Yarrowia lipolytica: one gene and its partners. The protein of the gene in region 1 purifies or fractionates together with the protein of each later gene. This does not show direct contact. Links are inferred from orthologs where the notes say so. Each region holds a gene or a part of one and is shown in the gene's direction. Other genes may lie near its edges.

Region 1 (4,260 bases):
TCACTTTCTCAGCTTCAACAGAACCCATGGATATAAGTCCGGTATTATCATATTCCGCACCATCCGCATCATCCAATATGCAGGAATGACATATGAGCGCATTAGCAGATACCGGCACTCAGATGTAGGGATATTGATTCTAGGGTGGGTGAAGTTGCTACAAGTAGCTCTTTCTGTGGTGGACCCCGGAGATACTAGTTATGAAGAGTGGTCATGAAGAGTGGTTATGAAAAGTGGTTACGATGCTTGTTTCTCATACACTAGCTAGTCAAGTATTGATCATGATGGGTATGATGTGAGGGTGAATGGTGAGAATACACTACAGTAGATGATAAGAATGTGTTTCTGTAGCTATTCGCGATCTTCGAATATCACGCTCTTTTCTTCGATTTAATCTTCATTTTCGCTAGTTATTGTGATAATTCGAAGTAGTCGTAGTAAATCAAGTGGCACTGTACCTACCATGGCTTGTACAGGTACTTGTTATGGAATGATCTGAGTGAATCTCAACGGCAAGAGATAACGGATTCTGATTTGCGGGTCACAGAAGGAGATTCTCAACTCTCAATGGGATAGTTCCATAAGAACTTGTACTGTAGCCCATGGGTGTCCAGTTTAGATGCTGTAAGCAGAACACGACGCTCAGTTTCTGCCAGAAACTTGGACGCTAGTTGCCAAAAACTTTTAGCGATGGAAACCCTTTAAAAACTTCTCCAGAACTCTCCAGAACTCTCCAGAACTCTCCAGAACTCTCGTGGTCCTATATGTGCGAATGAACGACCTCCACTCACCGCCATTGGACAGACACAGAGAAGTATGGGGATGGTGAATGTGAACAGGAGACAGTGTAGCGATGAATACGAGATTGGTACCATCTCCAAGATCAGCCGAAAACGTTTCTGTATATCAGCTCCTTTGTTGGATTCCATGCCGACAGTCCACCACAGAAGTTGAACATTCGCTGATGCTACACCTGAATTACCTGTCCCAAAATGGCCAAAAAAAAAAAAAAAAAAAAAAAAAAAAAAAGGACTCTCTTGGGTAATGTGACCAAAATCTGCTATTATTTGCGGAATTTATTAATATTCGGATGTAAAACTGATGCAACAAGTACCCTTCGCCCAAACTGTCCTACAACGAGTGCAAAACTCCTCTATCACAACTACTAACATCGACATGCTACAACACCTCCAAACCTAATCGTATTTTTTTTAGACACCAGGAAGCCTTCGTCAACAGACCCCTGTTTCCCCGAATCTGAGTAGAAAAGACGTAAACCAGGTATTCCAAACTCCAAGATCCCCCAGTAAAAAATTCGCTTCTCGAAGACTGCTCTAAAGGCACATTCACCGTTGCTTGTTGCTGTACCCAGATTGTCAACAGTAACTTTGATCCGAGGTACGTTGTGTGCGATATTGGACGAGCTATAGTCATTATCTCTGAGATCAGAAAGGCTAGAAATAGCTTCTCGAACTTTCAGTATGCCCAAAGATATACCAAAAGCTTTCTATATGTCAATATCTGCTTTTGTCACGCCCAGTCGAAGACGTTATATGCTGGACTCTATCAGATAATGTTTGGGTTGCATCGATCTCTGGTTACTGCTCAGCACGGCCAGATAATGTCGCCATATAGACATAAAACTGATACGGTAAAGATGCCAACCGGCCATTATACATCTGGATCAACCATTTTTCTCATAATATCCATCCATTGCAGTGTAAAAATGGCGACTTTTCAGCCCCTTTTTGGAACAAGTTGCTCGTAGGTCTACTCCGAAGTCGGTCAAACTACATGCCAAACCAATCCGAACTAAACAACACACGCAGCTGAGACCTGTGGCCCAAAATTCAGTGGCACACTCATTAACCCTCTAAACAATAAACATATCACGGCGCCTACTCATAAACGAACCACCACGGCCATTTGCGAACGACCCACTATTGTCCCCCGTCTAGTCTCCACGGCCGGGTAAAAAGGCTATTTTTTTCTGCACAATTTTTTCTGACGCTGCAGGACGTTTAAAAATATTCCTGTCCACTTTTCTCCCAACCACACACTTGTCCAACACCACTACACACACCATGTCGGACCAAATCGACTACGTACTTTTCGAGGAGGCCTCTGGCTACGCTCTGTTCAAGGTGCTGCTGCAGCCCGAGAACATTGGCGCCCGAGTCAAGGAGGTCCAGGAGTCTTGTACCGACTTCAACAAGTTTTCCAAGCTTGTCAAGCTGGTGTCTTTTGCCCCCTTCAAGGGTGCTGCCCATGCTCTGGAGAACGCCAACGATATTTCCGAGGGTATCTGCAACGACCACCTCAAGTCCCTGCTCGAGCTCAACTTGCCTGAGGGATCCAAGAAGAAGAAGATTGTGCTTGGTATCAGTGACAAGAACCTGGGCCAGAGCATAAAGGAGGCTCTCCCCAACGTCGAGTGTGTCTCCAACGAGGCCGTCCACGATCTCCAGCGAGGAATCCGTTTGTTTGGCGACCGGTTCCTGGAGCAGCTTGACTCTGGCGATCTTGAGCGAGCTCAGCTTGGTCTGGGCCACGCCTACTCCCGAGCCAAGGTCAAGTTCTCCGTCAACAAGAACGACAACCACATCATCCAGGCCATTGCGCTGCTGGACCAGCTGGACAAGGATATCAACACCTTCTCCATGCGAGTCAAGGAGTGGTATGGCTGGCACTTCCCCGAGCTCGCCAAGCTCGTCAACGACAACTACAACTTTGCCAAGCTCGCTCTCTACATCAAGGACAAGTCCGAGCTGTCCGAGGACTCCCTGCACGACATTGCTGCCATCGTGAACGACGATGCTGGTCTTGCCCAGCAGATTATCGACGCTTCCAAGATCTCCATGGGCCAGGACATCTCCGAGGCTGACATGGACAACGTTACCACCTTCGCCGAGCGAGTTGTCAACATCACCGACTACCGACGAAAGCTCTACGGCTACCTGTCCGAGAAGATGAACACCATTGCTCCCAACCTGTCCGAGCTTATTGGTGAGGTTGTTGGTGCCCGACTCATCTCTCACGCCGGTTCTCTTACCAACCTGTCCAAGTACCCTGCCTCTACTGTCCAGATTCTCGGTGCCGAGAAGGCTCTGTTCCGAGCTCTTAAGACCAAGGGAAACACCCCTAAATACGGTCTGATCTACCACTCTTCTTTCATCGGCAAGGCCGGTCTCAAGAACAAGGGCCGAATCTCCCGATTCCTCGCCAACAAGTGTTCCATTGCATCTCGAATCGACAACTACTCCGATGTGCCCACTTCCATCTTCGGAAAGGCCCTCAAGCAGCAGGTCGAGGAGCGACTCACCTTCTACGATACCGGAGTTGCCCCCACCAAGAACGTCGATGCCATGAAGAACGCCATGGACGAGGTTCTGGCCAACATGGGCGACGTTGAGGTCGATGAGGACTCTGACGTTGAGATGGATGACGATTCCGACAAGAAGGAGAAGAAGGAAAAGAAGGACAAGAAGGAAAAGAAGGAAAAGAAGGACAAGTCTGAGAAGAAGGACAAGAAGGACAAGAAGGAAAAGAAGGACAAGAAGCGAAAGAGCTTGGGCGGTGATGAGACTCCTAAGAAGAAGAAGTCAAAGAAGGATTAATGTAGTATATATTTAACGGATAATACAAGTGAAGATGCAAAGTTGCATACATCTGGCATGCAGTGAGGGTTGCCAGATGATGTGATTTTGCGACCGTAGAATGAGGGAAGACTGCCACAAGACTGGAATCTGAGAAATGTGATAACACCTACAAGTATCTGACATGTCTCAGGCACTACAGCTGTGCCTGTTTTCATAGGCGGTATTCTCATACAAGTTCACTGAGCCCTTATCAGGTACAATACTAAGACAAATATACTAATTGTGTTGTGGACGCATCGAAACCGCCTCTGCAACGCAGTCATGACCTCCTACAGGTACAGTCCAGCAACGCCATCATCTGCTCTCAACTCCTTCAACGCCTTTGCTGCGTCGAGCCCGAAAACTCCGGCGAGAATTCCAGTCAGGTCCTCGAACGTGTCACTCTGGTATCGCTCGAACGACTGAGTGCCCACATTCTGGACCACTAGTGCTGTGGCAGGCACCTGTGACTGCTGACATCGGGTGAGAACGGCGGCTCCTAGTCCAGATATGAAGTTTGGAGACTGCAGCAGAGGTGTGGAAGCCAGGGGGACGAGATTCGACTTACCCACATCCAGCTGGTGCACATGAACGTCAGCAATGGTGTTACCAGGTGCAAGAA
Region 2 (6,488 bases), about 1.4 Mb from region 1:
AGATCGGAATGGCTAGTACCTGCCAGATCCAACGACGACTGGACTATCAAGCAGTGGGACGAGTGTTTTCGCGAGGCTGAGGGTGTGGCTGGAAAAGACGTCGATCGCATGCTAATGGCCATCGTGGACAATGACTCCACCATCGTCTACTACTTCGTCTACAAGGGTCTGGTCAAGCCTCGAAAGAACTAGATTCACAACTATTATACACCCTGTTCCGTTATGATCCCGGTCCAGGCATTATCACCTTGCATTATAAATATATGTACATTACATGAAACAATATGGTCTGGGGCATAGTAATGTAGCACCCAGTCAGCCAGAAGACCTGTAGCTCGCGGCTTAAATAGGTCTTGACTGTAACATCAACTTCCATCTTTGTCACTCCAAAAACACCATGGATTCGTCAATCACAGGGCTCAGTTTCACATTGCCACTGTTAACCCAACGTCTAACAGATTTCTTCAAAACCCGTCCTCCCAGTTGTACCTTCTTGGCTTTTTCGTCGCTGTAGAGAACTACAGCATGCATTTCTTTGAGTGCTCGCATCACATCTTCCGGCTGGATATAAGTATGTTCGCTGATCGTCTCAATCGTGATGACGTCTTCTGTACACTCTATCAAGATGAACCGGGCTATCGTAGTACACCAGTAAGACATATATGATAAAGTGCCGAACTTCGACAGCGGTCGCTCTGGACTTCCTTTACGGCCTTCGTACTTCGACAGCACGTATGAAAACTCGATCAGCAGTTTGCCCAGCCCTCGCCTTTGATACGGAGGAAATACCAGAATGCAAGCCAGATTGTTTTCGTCCCACGACAGTTTCTCCTTGGAGAAGAAGCCCATGGGTTTAAAGTGCCTGCTGCTGGCGGTATCCTTGCCGAGCACAACATAAAATTCAAAGGCATCGGCGCCGAAGAACACAGACTTGTGGTCCAGGAAGAGCTTCGCGAACAGACAGAGATTCTGGCAGTAGAGCTTGTGAACGGCGCCATCAACACGGCGAATGGCATAGTCTTTCGATTTGTAAACCGTCTCTCCGGGGTGCTTGAACACATACTTGCAGGTGCTTCGGTGTTGGGCCATGTCCTTGGAGACCTTCGAGTATTTGAAACACGAGTCGCAGACAAACAGCTGTTTGACCTGGAAGTCGACCTGGGCTGGTGGTTGGTCATTGGGGGCCACAGATGCGTTTGCTGATGATCCAGAGGACGAAATGGTTGAGGATGTTAATGCAGAAGAGGTTCCTCCAGGTGTGCCAACAGACGGAGAGCTGTAGCGCTCAATGAAGAGCCGGGACATGTCGCAGGTGTGATTGTCCTTGTCCTTGTCGAGGGCCTTGGCCTCCATCAACGCCATGGCCCGCTTCCAGGTCAACTTCTTGAGTTCGTCCTTCTGTGAAAAATAGTATGCCGACGAGTGGTACCACGTGTCGAATTCACGAGGGCCAAAGACCACCCGTCCAATGTTTCGTGGAGGCTCTTCTTCCTCCTCATCGTCCAAGGGGTCGTCGTGCATTAGTGTTGGCATGCCAGGAGAAGATGTTGTCTATGTTGAAGGACTTCGTTTCTCGTCACCACAGAACAGTCATGCACGCTTCAACGTCGCGCTTAAAGACCCATGAGGCGGATGTGTAATAGATTACTTGTAGAGCAATTACTAACGAGAATGGTGTATAACATACTAGGGCTCAGTGTGCACACTATGTAACCATCATTTAATATAAATGTGTCTCTTTTAATTACACCTTTCATTTTTCTACTGAGACCACCTCACTTGCGGCTCGTACTATTTTCGCCCCTCAAAAATCGATGCCAATTTTTGGGAACCAAAATTTTATTGTTTATAATTATGTGAACTGCAGTTTGGTTTATAACTGAGACTCTCAAAGAAAAACATATATTACGTGAACATTTACTTCAAGTTATTATAGAAAAAGAACCTGTCTCCTCCCAACAGCCACATCACATGACCGCGCATACATCATGCACAATCAGAAAAAATTGGGCAATATAGCATAACCTGCGTGAAGCTGATTCAACCCATCGCTTCAACTATGGCGAAATACAAGCTAGGATACAACGCAAAGGCCCGAGCCGGCTCGCTGAAGAAGCAGCAGGAGCTCAAGGCCGCCAAGCAGAAAACCTGGGTCAAGAAGCCTACAGCAGAGGAGGAGGAAGAAGACGCCAATGCCGAGCTCATGGTGCCCAAGAGTGAGGCCGAGAAGGAGGCTCGAAAGAGAAAGCTCCAGGAAGAGCTCACACCTACGGAGAGCAAGATGACTTCAAAGAAGCGAAAGCGTCTAGACAAGTACATTGTGAGTATGACACGAGGATACGTCGCAGGTTTAGCTTAACCAGATTAGCTGAACCAGATTAGCTGAACCAAGGACATTCGCTGCGCTTATGATTACATACTAACTCAGGAAAAACAACTCAAGAGAGAAGAGAAGAAGGCATTGTTTTCCGAGTTTGCTGCTCGAAAGGGCACCTTTGATACATCTCAGCTCAAGTCTATGAAACACATGGGTGACAAGGAAACCAAAAAAGCCCGGATCGAGGAAGCTTTGCGTCTGGAGAAACTGGGTCTCGGTAATGAGGAGACCAAGGAGATTCTGTACGAGAAACACGATCACGAAGAGTGGGATGACGAGAAGCATTCTCATCTCCTGACTGAGCTGGAGCGAAAGGAGAAGCAAATGGCCGAAGAGGAAGAGCAGGAGAACAAAAGCTCATTCATTGACATGCGACCCAAGGCTGGTGGTGGTTTCGGTTTCCAGAACCTGGCCAAGGTTTCCAAGCCCGCAAAAAACTCTTACTCTTGGCGAAAGAAGCTCGAGATTGAGCGTGCTCGAAAGAACAAGAAGGACTACGTTAGCTCCGGGGAGGACGACGATACCGATTCTGATGAGGAGGATTCTGACGAAGATTCAGACGAGGATTCGGATGAGGAGTCTGAGGAGTCAGAAGAGGAAGGCACCAAAAAAGTGAAGGCGGCTGCCGAGGAGGAGATCGAGGAAGATGTCGAGGAAGAGGAAGAAGATGAAGACGAGCAGGAGGAGGAGGATGAGGACGAAGATGAGGACGAAGATGAGGACGAGGAAGAGGAAGACGAGGAAGATGACGAGTATACCGAAATCGTCACCAAAAAGACAAAGGGTTCTTCTTTCAAGGAATGGATCGATGAACAGTCTGGACCCAAGTCTTCCAACATCGAGGATCTCTCGCATATCAAGATCAAGAAAGAAAGAGTGGACAGAGACGAGGACCGCCTTACTCCTCCTCCCGAAGACATTGCCCAACCCGAGTACGCCAAAAGAAAGGCCTTTTATGTCAACGTTCAGCGAGACCCTGAAATCCAGACCTCCCGAATGAACCTTCCTGTCACCGGAGAAGAACAGAGAATCATGGAAGCCATTTTCAACAACGATTGTGTCATCATCTGTGGTGAAACTGGTTCAGGTAAGACTACACAGACTCCTCAATTCCTGATCGAGGCGGGTTTCGGAACGAAGGGTAGTGACTACCCTGGTATGATCGGTGTCACCCAGCCTCGACGAGTGGCCGCCATCTCTATGGCGCAACGTGTTGCTAACGAGTTGGGTAACCAAGGTGATAGAGTTGCCCATCAGGTGCGATTCGATGTCACCGTGAAGGATAATACAGCTCTCAAGTTCATGACTGATGGTGTGTTGCTGCGAGAACTGTCCCAAGACTTTGCTCTTACCAAGTACTCTGCTCTGGTAATTGATGAGGCCCATGAACGTAACATCAACACTGATATTCTCATTGGTGTGCTTTCTCGAGTTCTCAAGTTGCGAAAGGAGATGTTCAACGAAGGCAAGTGCGAGTCTCCCCTCAAGCTCATTATCATGTCTGCTACTCTGCGGGTTTCCGATTTCACAGAGAACAAGACTCTTTTCCCAGTTCCTCCTCCTGTTCTCAAGGTTGAGGCCCGACAATATCCCGTTTCTGTCCACTTCAACAAACGAACAACTTACGACTACATGGACGAGATCTACCGAAAGACCTGCAAGATCCACAAACGACTGCCCGATGGTGGTATTCTGATCTTCCTGACTGGCCAAAACGAGATTGTTAACGTGGTCAAGCGGCTTCGGAAGGCCTTCCCTGATCGAACTAAGGTGTGGCGGCCCAAGGACAAGTCTGAGGATCTCCAGGTCAAGGTGTCTGCCAATGAGACTGTAGTGGAGGCCGAGGAGGTTGATTTTGGCGCCGATATGCGACAACAGGACTATGCTGCTGTCGAGGGAGAGTCTGAGACAGATGAGGAGGACGGAGAAGAAGGTTTCGAAGAGGAGCTTGCTGTCGAGGAGCGAAATGAGTCTGCTCCTCTGCACGTGCTTCCTCTTTACTCTCTGCTGCCTACCAAGGAGCAGATGAAGGTGTTTGAGGAGGTTCCTGCCGGCCATCGACTGTGTGTCGTTGCTACTAACGTTGCTGAAACTTCGCTGACCATTCCTGGTATCAGATATGTGGTTGATTGTGGTCGAGCAAAGGAGCGAAAGTACGATGAAGAGACTGGTGTTCAGTCCTTTGAGGTTGATTTCATCTCCAAGGCTTCTGCCGATCAGCGAGCTGGTCGTGCCGGTCGAACTGGTCCCGGTCACTGCTACCGTGTCTTCTCATCTGCCGTCTATGAGGAGTTCTTCCCTCAATTCTCCATCCCCGAGATTCTCCGATGCCCTGTTGAGGGCATTGTTCTGGAGATGAAACACATGGGTATTGACAAGGTGGTCAACTTCCCCTTCCCCACTCCCCCCGACAGACAGTCCCTGGCCAAGGCCGAGAAGCTGCTGGAGTACCTAGGTGCCCTCAGCAACACTGGTGTTATTTCTGATATGGGTAAGCAGATGTCTCTGTTCCCTCTGTCCCCGCGATTCGCCAAGATGCTCATTATTGGTTCTCAGCTCGAGTGCCTGCCTTACATGGTTGCCATTGTTGCTGCTCTCACAGTTGGAGATCCCTTCATTGGAGAGCACGAGCTTGGCATCAATGAGAAACCACAGAAGCCCAAGGTTGAGGAGGTTGATGAAGACGGAGACCGGATTAAGAGCAACGAGTCTGACTCCGAGCCCGAGGACATTTACGAGATTGAGCGAAAGCGAAAGCTGCGATCCAGCTACCATAAGGCCCAGGCAAAGCTGGCCTCCCTGGACCCTGCATCTGACGCTCTGAAGCTGCTCTCTGCCGTCTGCGCCATGGACTACGATTCCGACCTGGAGAACTTCTGCAAGGGCTTCTTCCTGCGACACAAGCTGATGGAGGAGATGCGAAAGCTGAGACAGCAACTGAGCCGAATCGTTGTGGCCAACTCCGACCCTCGAGCAGCTCCTATGCTCAAGGAACAGTTGAATGCCAAGCTCAAGCCTCCTTCTAAGCTCCAGATCAAGGCTCTCAAGCAGATGATTGCCACTGGTTTTGTTGACCAGGTGGCTCAGCGTCTGGACAAGGTCAGCGAGGACTACAAGCTCACTTCTCGAGAGCGAATCATCAACGTTCCCTACCAGACTCTGTTCCCCACCTCCACCACCAACAAGAAGACTGACGACCAAGGAAACCCTCTGCCTGACGACACTCAGGTGTTCATTCACCCCGGATCTGTCATTAACACTATGGGAACTCATCCTCCCGAAATGTTGGTATTTGCTTCCGTCAACCGATCGGGATCTTCCAAGCTGAGAATCAAGCCTCTCTGTGATATCACATCTGCCCAGATTGGCAACATTGCCAAGGGCACTGCTCTACTCACATACTCCAAGCCCCTGCCTCCCCCCTACGGCCCCAAGATGATCACCAGTACCTCTCGAGAGTGTTGGGTGGTTCCTCGGCTGGGAGCTGCTATTGGCTCTGGAGGCACTGGATGGGATCTGCCTCCTATTAAGGTGAAACAGGAGAAGAAGGGTAGCCAGTGGGTTACCTTGTAAAAATTGCCATAGCAACAAACGAACAAAAACCATAGCATGTTTATATTGTATTAGATTTCTTCATAATTTTAGGGAAACACACTGTATCTTCACTTCGTAGCTACAGCACTTACTAAGCACTTTTTACATCCTCGGTAAGTAATTAGGTTTGTGCATCCATACCCCACATAAAGTTGAACATGAAAGAAGGGAAGACTGATTTGCCCCCACAGCACCAGACAACCAGCAATACGGCGGTTGATCATTGTTAAGCCAAACGATTGGAACCTGATCATATCATATCAACCCAAAACGACCTTTCCTCACGACAAAAAATGGACTACTTTTCGTCACTCAACGCGAGCCAGCTGGATCCTGATGTGCCCACACTGTTTGAGCTTCTGTCTGCTAAACAGCTGGAGGGTCTGATTGCCCCTTCGGTTCGATATATTCTTGCATTCTACGCCCAGAGACATCCGCGGTATCTACTGCGAATCGTCAACCGCTACGACGAGCTGTACGCGTTGTTCATGGGTCTGGTGGAGTACTATAATCTCAA
Region 3 (3,741 bases), on another chromosome or scaffold:
CCTTTGACACAAGTCTTTGGTTTAAGCGACAATGGAGCCGAAACCTGTCGTGTAGCCGAGGAAGTGGCTCGGTCAGACATAAAAAAAAAAAGGTAGTTGGGAGGCCACCCTTGATCGCTAACGGGCTACCTGTACTGGACAGCTTCACCATCCAATCACCAATGCTTCTCTATCCCCTTAAGAGCCTCGGCCTTCTCCTTGGCCGTCTTCTCCTGGATTAGCTCCAATTCATGCTGATACTCCTTCTCATACTCCTGCTGGGTTTCCAGATCAGAATCCGCGTCGGGATCAAACTCCGACTCGGTGGGCTCGAGGTCGGACATTTCTGCCTCCCGGCCAAGCTCCTTGAGCCGTCGCTTCTCAATGTTCCGGGCTCTTCGAGCGGCACGTCGTTCGTTCTGCGCCTGTCTTCGGGCCTCTCGTCGTGCGTTTCGTCTAGCCCGAGCCTCATCCGTGCTCATCCCCTTCGCAACGTTTGCCAGTAGTAAGACCATCGTGTGTTATGTCTGTTCTGTATGTGTGTCTGTGAGTCTGTGTGTGTCTGTGGTTGTGTCTCTGTGAACGTGCGTGTGTGTAGAAAGGCGTGTCTGAAGTGACTGACGTAAGAGATACAGTTGCCAATGCTTTCAATCACTGCCTCTCCTTTTAACCAAGCCAAGCCCAGTAGTTGCTGTTGATATAGTGAACTCAAAAGAAAGAGGAGAGCCAAAATTAAAAAGCAATGCATGATGCGATGAGCTCAACAGAAGGGCTTAAAACTGCTCCAGCCGCCCCATGTGATCGTGAAAGTCACGTGATTAGACCTATACTACCACTTAGAAGCTGTCTATCAACTCCATACCCCTGAAAAATAGCTTCCCGGATCCAATACGGCCATCCTCCATGTTGCTGACTCGCAAACTCTATCGAACCGTTGAGAATGTACCGTTAGCCGGCTCGGAAGAGACCCAAAGGTGAGCAGCAATGGGGCTGGTTATTTTAGTCACGTGACCGTTTAAAAGGGATTAGGAAAAGTCAAAGGTGAGCAGCAATGGGGCTGGTTATTTTAGTCACGTGACCGTTTAAAAGGGATTAGGAAAAGTCGAATCTCTTTTCTGTTGACTACCATTTTTCCTTCGCTAAGGTTTCTGAAATTTCACCCGTTTACAAGTATCGTACAAGTAGTACCCCTTATCCCTGTTAAAACTGTGAACCCAGTTCAACTCGTACCCCTTTGACTTGCAGTTGGTTACTCGGAATTCTGGTGAAAATGCATTATATGTACAGTATTCAGTCAATTGCATGAGAAAAAAAGAAGTGAATCTGTTTCCGGCTAGTTGTGGAGGTATGATGACGTCAAGCAACAGGAACATGAACATCGAGTATACACATAGAAGTACATACTGTCCATACTGTAGTAGCCAATGTTCACCATAAACTGTCGAACTGGAATTTCACTCATAAGTAGCTATTCATACTTCTAGCACCATCGCAATCACCATAATGAGAAATCTTGCGCATCTTAATGGCGAACGTGAAATCTATAATCAGTTCCAGGTTGTCGTCGTCTGGCATTATGGACTGATAAATAAGATTATATCCTAACCCTATAGTTACTCTGAATCTCGGAATAGTGGCGAATACATAAAATTCTCATACCATTCGCACCAACGTTCTCTCTGCAAAAATCCGATCAAAACGAATATAATCTCGTTTCACCAAATTTTAGTCCCCTCGATTTGTGTCACGTGACAACCTTATTTTGGAACGTTAAAAAATTGTGCATGCTGCATACGGTTTGGCATATTTTTTAATCCCACCATATCACCAACACCACGCACCGCACAACCATGGGAAAAGCTGATACTAAAGACGCCAAGGTGCGACACAGCCCGCTTCATGTCGACATGAGCCAGGGCAGCGGACTTCTTCGAGAATCCGCCAAGCAGAAGACTTCCCGAAACACCAAGAAGACCGATGCTGCAGAGGAGGATTTTATTGATTCGGCCACTTCGCGACGAATTCTGCAGATGGCACGGGATCAGCAGCGAGAGCTGGATGAGGAGGAGCGAGGCGAGGAGTTTCCCGAGGATGACGATGTGGAATTCGAGGACGAAGACGAGGAGGAGGATGAGGAGGAGTACGAGGAGTACGAGGATGTGCAACAGGAGTTTATGACCCCTGAGGATGCTGCTCTGTACGCGAAGTACTTCAATGAGGACGAGCCTGTTTCTCTGGCCGATAAGATCATGGCCAAGATTCGAGAGAAGGAAGAGGAGGAGCAGTTTGAGCGAACTGGAGAGGCCCCTGGAACCTCCCAGGGTTTGGAGGGAGAGGGAGTCATGCTTCCACCCAAGGTCATTGCAGTCTACGAGAAGGTCGGAGAGCTTCTGAGCCGATACAAGTCTGGAAAGCTGCCCAAGGCATTCAAGATTGTGCCTACGCTGCGAAACTGGCAGGATGTTCTGTACGTGACCGATCCTGCTAGCTGGTCTCCCAACGCAATCTACGAAGGAACAAAGATGTTTGTGTCCAACCAGCAGGCTAAGGAGGCCCAGAAGTTCATCCAGATTGTGCTGCTGGAGCGATTCAAGGAGGAGATTGAAGAGAAGAAGACCCTAAACTACCACGTTTATCGATCCCTGAAGAAGGCTCTGTATAAGCCTTCTGCCTTCTTCAAGGGTTTCCTGTTCCCTTTGGCTGAGCAATGCACACTCAAGGAGGCCATCATTGTCAGCTCCATTCTGTCCAAGGTCTCTATCCCCACTTTGCATTCTGCTGCTGCTCTCATGAGACTGGCTGAGATGCCTTATTCCGGCCCCACTTCTCTGTTCATCAAGGTGCTGCTCGACAAGAAGTACGCTCTGCCCTACCGAGTCGTTGACGCCGTGGTCTTCCATTTCATGCGTTTCGCTCACGTTGAAGAGGCTCTCCCCGTCATCTGGCATCAGTCCCTTCTGGTCTTTGCCCAGCGATACAAGAGTGATATCACGGAGGATCAGCGAGACGCTCTTCTGGATGTCATCAAGGTCAAAAACCATCCCAAGATTACACCTGAAATTCGACGAGAATTGATTTCTGGCGAGTCTCGACCTATTGTGGATGAGCAGATGGAGGTTTAACTAACGGAAAAAGGACTATAATAGATGTATGTAGCATAATTAGAGATGGTTGATTGGTATAGAGCGTTGCTAGCGGTGTTTGCGTGTACACGGTGGGGTTTTAGTTAGTGTAAAGACAGTATGGATGTGAAAATGTACAACAGTACGATACTAGAGGTGCACCATAACGACAAGAGAGGAAAAGACGTATTTTATTGCACAAATATGAGTGCCAGAAAGCGCAAAGGAACCTATTCGCCCTACATCCTCAAACCCTTCGACTTCAACCAAAAAGTAGCTATTCAAACCAACATGGTTCGAAGGGTGTAATCCGATTGAGCCACATGGAGACAAGTTTTCGTTAAATGGACTTCTTACATGGTTTTATTGTGGTTGAAATAATGTAATAATCGACTTCTTTGGTCCTTCTGGGTCGAATCTGAGATCTTTGGATTTTCATGGATTCAGGCTACAAATGAGATTTCATGGATTGAGAATGTATGGGGCCAATCACTTGGCGATATGGGTAATTGATGGATTGGTAAAGAATCTAGACTGTTTTTATTATCAAGTCAGTGGTCTCACTCAAGTAACTGATATTGGTGTGTAGTTATCAACTAACATTACTTAACAGTAGAACTGAAAACAGAAGGAATCTGGG
Region 4 (3,845 bases), on another chromosome or scaffold:
CCAAACAGACCGAGATAAGTCCACCATCTCCAGCTTTTCCAGAGACCTGCAAAGATGATGAATATGCAAAACAGTGCAATGCTGGCAGCAGCGATAAAGCTAGACAGTAGCCGTTCCACCTTGGACGACAGCGGAGGAAGAGGTACCAAGTCTGCCAGATGATGACCGACTTTGAGACCTGCGAAACTTAGTCCGAAATTGATGAGACCAATCGACATGACAGATTGGACTCCGTAGCCGGCGTTGGGGTATCCCAGCTTCGTGTCATTCTGGTTGGCTCCGTATAGAAAGCCTTCCAGCATGAGGGTGGAGAAGGAAGTTAGAGAACCACAGAAGCCCGTGCCTATGCCTAAAAACAGCGGCAACTGTTTCTTTGTCACTCCACGTTCTTTTTCCACGTTTTCAAACAGATTTGTGGCATTTACCCACCCCATGACTATGCAGCCTCCGAAATTGGCCCATACCAATCCGGACTCGGTGAACGAGCCATGGAAGAGTGTCAGGTGCTCTATACCCTCACGGGCTATAGCTCCGGCCATGGCAAACACGGCTATGTTGAGATAAGTCAGAGCCGCGTTCATTTCATTGTTGTATGTGTTGTTCCTGTTGGCGACCCTGAGAGGGAGGTTTGATGCGTCTCAACGATCCGATCCACTCTCGTTGTTTATGCTTAAGTGAGTCAACATCAAAACACGCCGCACCAAACAGATGTATGTGAGCTGTTACCGATTTGAGGTGTTACCGAATTTGTGCAAGAGCTTTAAAATAATTGAAAATCGACTCATTCGATTTTTTTGTTTACTTTGAACTTTCCTTTTCTCTCCAGCTACAGTATATAAATTTCAGTGTCTCCATCTTTCGTTTGGCCCTCGCCATCTGAGTCACGTGACTCCCAACCAACATGCATATATGCAAACCGTGTCCTGTGTGCGTACATACTGACAGTATAGCGACAGTCCAACCGCCATACACAATGTCTCTTCCATTCCCCGTCCAGATCGACAGAGACCGGATCTCGTCGGGAGACGACCTGTTGTCGCAGGAACTGACGCAATTCAAGGCGCTAGAGGACCTCAAGTCCGAGTTCGGCCAGTGGATCCAGATTCTTGAAAACGAGGTCGTGGAGCTCATCAACAAGGAGTACCAACAGTTTGTGGCGCTCGGAAACTCGGTCAGCGGTGGCAACAGCAAGGTGCAGGAGATCAAGCATCGATTGGTGCTGTTCCAACGCCAGGTGGAGCAGGTCAAGCAGGAGGTCGACGCTACAGCAGAACGGATTGCCAAGGTGCTGAAGAGCCAAAACCAACTGCTGGAGGAACGACAGCGCGCAATGGAACTCATTCTGTATATTCGGGCGTTCCAGGAGGTCGAGCTACGTGTCGGTCAAGTGGGAGGTGCTGATTCGTCTGACCCCGAGGAAGTGTTGGATCTGTCCAACCAGCTCATCAAGCTGCACGAGACCCGCAACGCCCATCCAGAGGCGGCAGTCATGAAATCGTCTGCATCCAGACTGACCACTTTATGTGGACTGGTCATCACAGCTCTGTGCAACAGTGCCAAAACGAACCAAGAAGAGGGTCTTGACTTGTTGCGACAGGTGCATGTTCTCCGGCGTTTGCAGATGTAACCACCCCTTTGTCGGTTGTATTGATATAGGTCAAATTATTTATTGTTTATCAACAATACGATTTTCGTAGCTTTCGTAGTTCTCACCTTTGGTACCATGGTTGCTTATTAAGTATTTGCTTATTAAGAACTCTATCAGACGTCCTACACCTTAAGTCTAATTTTTTCGAGGCTTGCATCAACAGAAAATTTATGCCATATCAACTCTGAAAATCCTCACACAAGACGATAGCATGGTTGATTCATTCTTTTCAAACCCGAAAAAGAGGAGCAAGGCCCCCAAGCGGGATGAGCGACGAGGCAAGAAGGCGGTCGCCAAACCCCAGCGCCCCAACGTGGCAGATGAAGACATTACTTCTGAGAGTGAAAATGAAGAGGAGCAGTTCTTTGAGAACCCCGACACGGCAAACTCCAGTGAGGACGAGGAGGAGACCCAGGCTGACAAGCGACGACGACTCGCCAACCAGTACCTGGAGAACCTGAAGGATGAGATGGGCGAGATAGGATTCGACGCTGCTGATCTTGATCGAGAGAATCTTTCAAGGCGCCTGGAGGAGGATGTGGCTGAGGATAAGGGTCTGATTTACCGATTCCTGGACGTCAAGGCCAACTCCTTTTCACGAGTTCACAAGAGCAGATTCCGACCAACCGCCGTGGCCTGTCGATACCCTTATGCCTACACAGTTGGACGAGATGTCGAGCTGGTCAAGTGGGATATCAGTGATGTGACTAAGCCTCGAGTGCTCAAGGTTGTTTATGGCAACCGTCACGCCTCCAAGGATGCCTTCAACCCCAAGGAGGATTACAAGGGCCACATTGACGACATTCTGTGTGTGGCAGTGTCTCCCGATGGCAAGTACGTTGCCACCGGATCCAAGGATAAGACCATCTGTGTCTGGGCAGCCGAGAGTCTGTCGTGCCTGCATGTTTTCCACACCCGAGATCGACGGGGAGTCGTCATGGGTCTGGCCTTTCGACGAAACACAAACCAGCTGTATGCTGCATGTGCTGATCTCAAGGTCCGAACCTTCTCTCTGGACCAAATGTCGCAAGTGGAGACGCTTTTCGGTCATCAGGATGTGGTTGCAGACATTTCGGCTCTGGCTGGCGAGAGATGCCTGACTGTGGGCTCTCGAGACCGAACTGCTGTGGTGTGGAAGATTGCTGACGAGTCGCGTCTGACTTTCCGGGGAGGAGACATCAAGGACTTCCCCGAGGGCTCCATCGACTGCTGTTCCATGATTGATTCACACTACTTCGTCACGGGCTCAGACAACGGCTCCATTTGTCTGTGGTCCCTGAGCAAGAAGAAGCCTGTCTTCATTGAGAGACGAGCGCATGGAGTTGAGGAGAGACCCGAGACTGATCTTCCACATACCGGAGAGGCTGAGGCCGACAAGGTGCCTCTCCCTGCCCAATCTCCCCGATACATTACTGCAATCCACGCCATCCCCTACTCAGACATTTTCCTTACCGGATCATGGAGTGGAGAGATCAAGGTGTGGAAGCTGGGATCCGAGATGCGGTCTTTCACCCAGATTGCCACTCTGCCCAATGTCAAGGGCGTGGTGGACTCTATCGATGTCAGTGAGCACGGATCTCGAGGCAAAGAGGTTTTCGCCGTGGTTGCTGCGGTCTCCAAGCAGCTGCGAATCGGCCGGTTCCTCAACGTGGGAGGAAGAAATGGTTTGTACACTGGAGAATTGGTCTTGTAAGCATGTGAAGGGAGGACTAGAGCATTAATAGAAAACGGTTGCTAAGCGACTGTAAGGATTGAATAAATCGATGTATATGAAATTGTGTCAGAGTGCGTATAATTAAGTAAATAGTTCAAGACTGAACGATGAGAACATGTGTTATCCACGGTTCATTCTGAGAAAAACAGTAAACATGATAGTGTAAAAGTCAGACAGACGATATGACGTCACAGTCATGGGCTGATAGTAACTTGTTCTGAGTGTAGTTATCCTGCCGCTGTTCATCACCCAGTAATATCACATTATTTCGCAATTAATTAATTAGGCTTTAGTTGAAGAACAATTTTACAGTCAACAGTGTAAATACATTGTTCCTTGGAAAATTGAGAGAAATGAAGTATGTTATTATGTAGAGAAAGTGTCTTTTGATCTATTTATGAGACTACTGTAAAAGTACAAGTACAAGTCCAAATAATTCGCCAATTGCAGGTCCACAAAAATTGGATCTTCCTATTTACAAGT

What was found.
Region 2: the proteins of YALI1_D21076g (region 1) and YALI1_D35148g purify together in Saccharomyces cerevisiae (affinity purification with mass spectrometry; 5 studies listed by BioGRID). This does not show direct contact. The link is inferred for Yarrowia lipolytica from reciprocal best matches to the Saccharomyces cerevisiae genes NOP56 and ECM16.
Region 3: the proteins of YALI1_D21076g (region 1) and YALI1_C05636g purify together in Saccharomyces cerevisiae (affinity purification with mass spectrometry; 5 studies listed by BioGRID). This does not show direct contact. The link is inferred for Yarrowia lipolytica from reciprocal best matches to the Saccharomyces cerevisiae genes NOP56 and ENP1.
Region 4: the proteins of YALI1_D21076g (region 1) and YALI1_A21630g purify together in Saccharomyces cerevisiae (affinity purification with mass spectrometry; 3 studies listed by BioGRID). This does not show direct contact. The link is inferred for Yarrowia lipolytica from reciprocal best matches to the Saccharomyces cerevisiae genes NOP56 and RRP9.

What each region holds. Positions count from the first base shown.
Region 1 is NC_090773.1:2,105,458-2,109,717, reverse strand, and holds YALI1_D21076g (uncharacterized protein), read left to right. Parts: upstream 1-2,084; coding exon 2,085-3,617; downstream 3,618-4,260. Other genes in the region: YALI1_D21044g (uncharacterized protein), read right to left, coding at 3,929-4,260. UniProt on the Saccharomyces cerevisiae protein: Required for 60S ribosomal subunit synthesis.
Region 2 is NC_090773.1:3,512,671-3,519,158, forward strand, and holds YALI1_D35148g (uncharacterized protein), read left to right. Parts: upstream 1-2,059; coding exon 2,060-2,320; intron 2,321-2,428; coding exon 2,429-5,950; downstream 5,951-6,488. Other genes in the region: YALI1_D35126g (uncharacterized protein), read left to right, coding at 1-192; YALI1_D35143g (uncharacterized protein), read right to left, coding at 382-1,533; YALI1_D35190g (uncharacterized protein), read left to right, coding at 6,265-6,488. UniProt on the Saccharomyces cerevisiae protein: Probable ATP-binding RNA helicase. Required for 18S rRNA synthesis. May play a role in restructuring of the pre-rRNA.
Region 3 is NC_090772.1:561,693-565,433, reverse strand, and holds YALI1_C05636g (uncharacterized protein), read left to right. Parts: upstream 1-1,829; coding exon 1,830-3,101; downstream 3,102-3,741. Other genes in the region: YALI1_C05649g (uncharacterized protein), read right to left, coding at 156-494. UniProt on the Saccharomyces cerevisiae protein: Required for normal export of the pre-40S particles from the nucleus to the cytoplasm.
Region 4 is NC_090770.1:2,161,066-2,164,910, forward strand, and holds YALI1_A21630g (uncharacterized protein), read left to right. Parts: upstream 1-1,859; coding exon 1,860-3,341; downstream 3,342-3,845. Other genes in the region: YALI1_A21617g (uncharacterized protein), read right to left, coding at 1-581; YALI1_A21620g (uncharacterized protein), read left to right, coding at 902-1,627. UniProt on the Saccharomyces cerevisiae protein: Involved in nucleolar processing of pre-18S ribosomal RNA. Required for efficient pre-rRNA cleavage at sites A0, A1 and A2, and biosynthesis of 18S rRNA.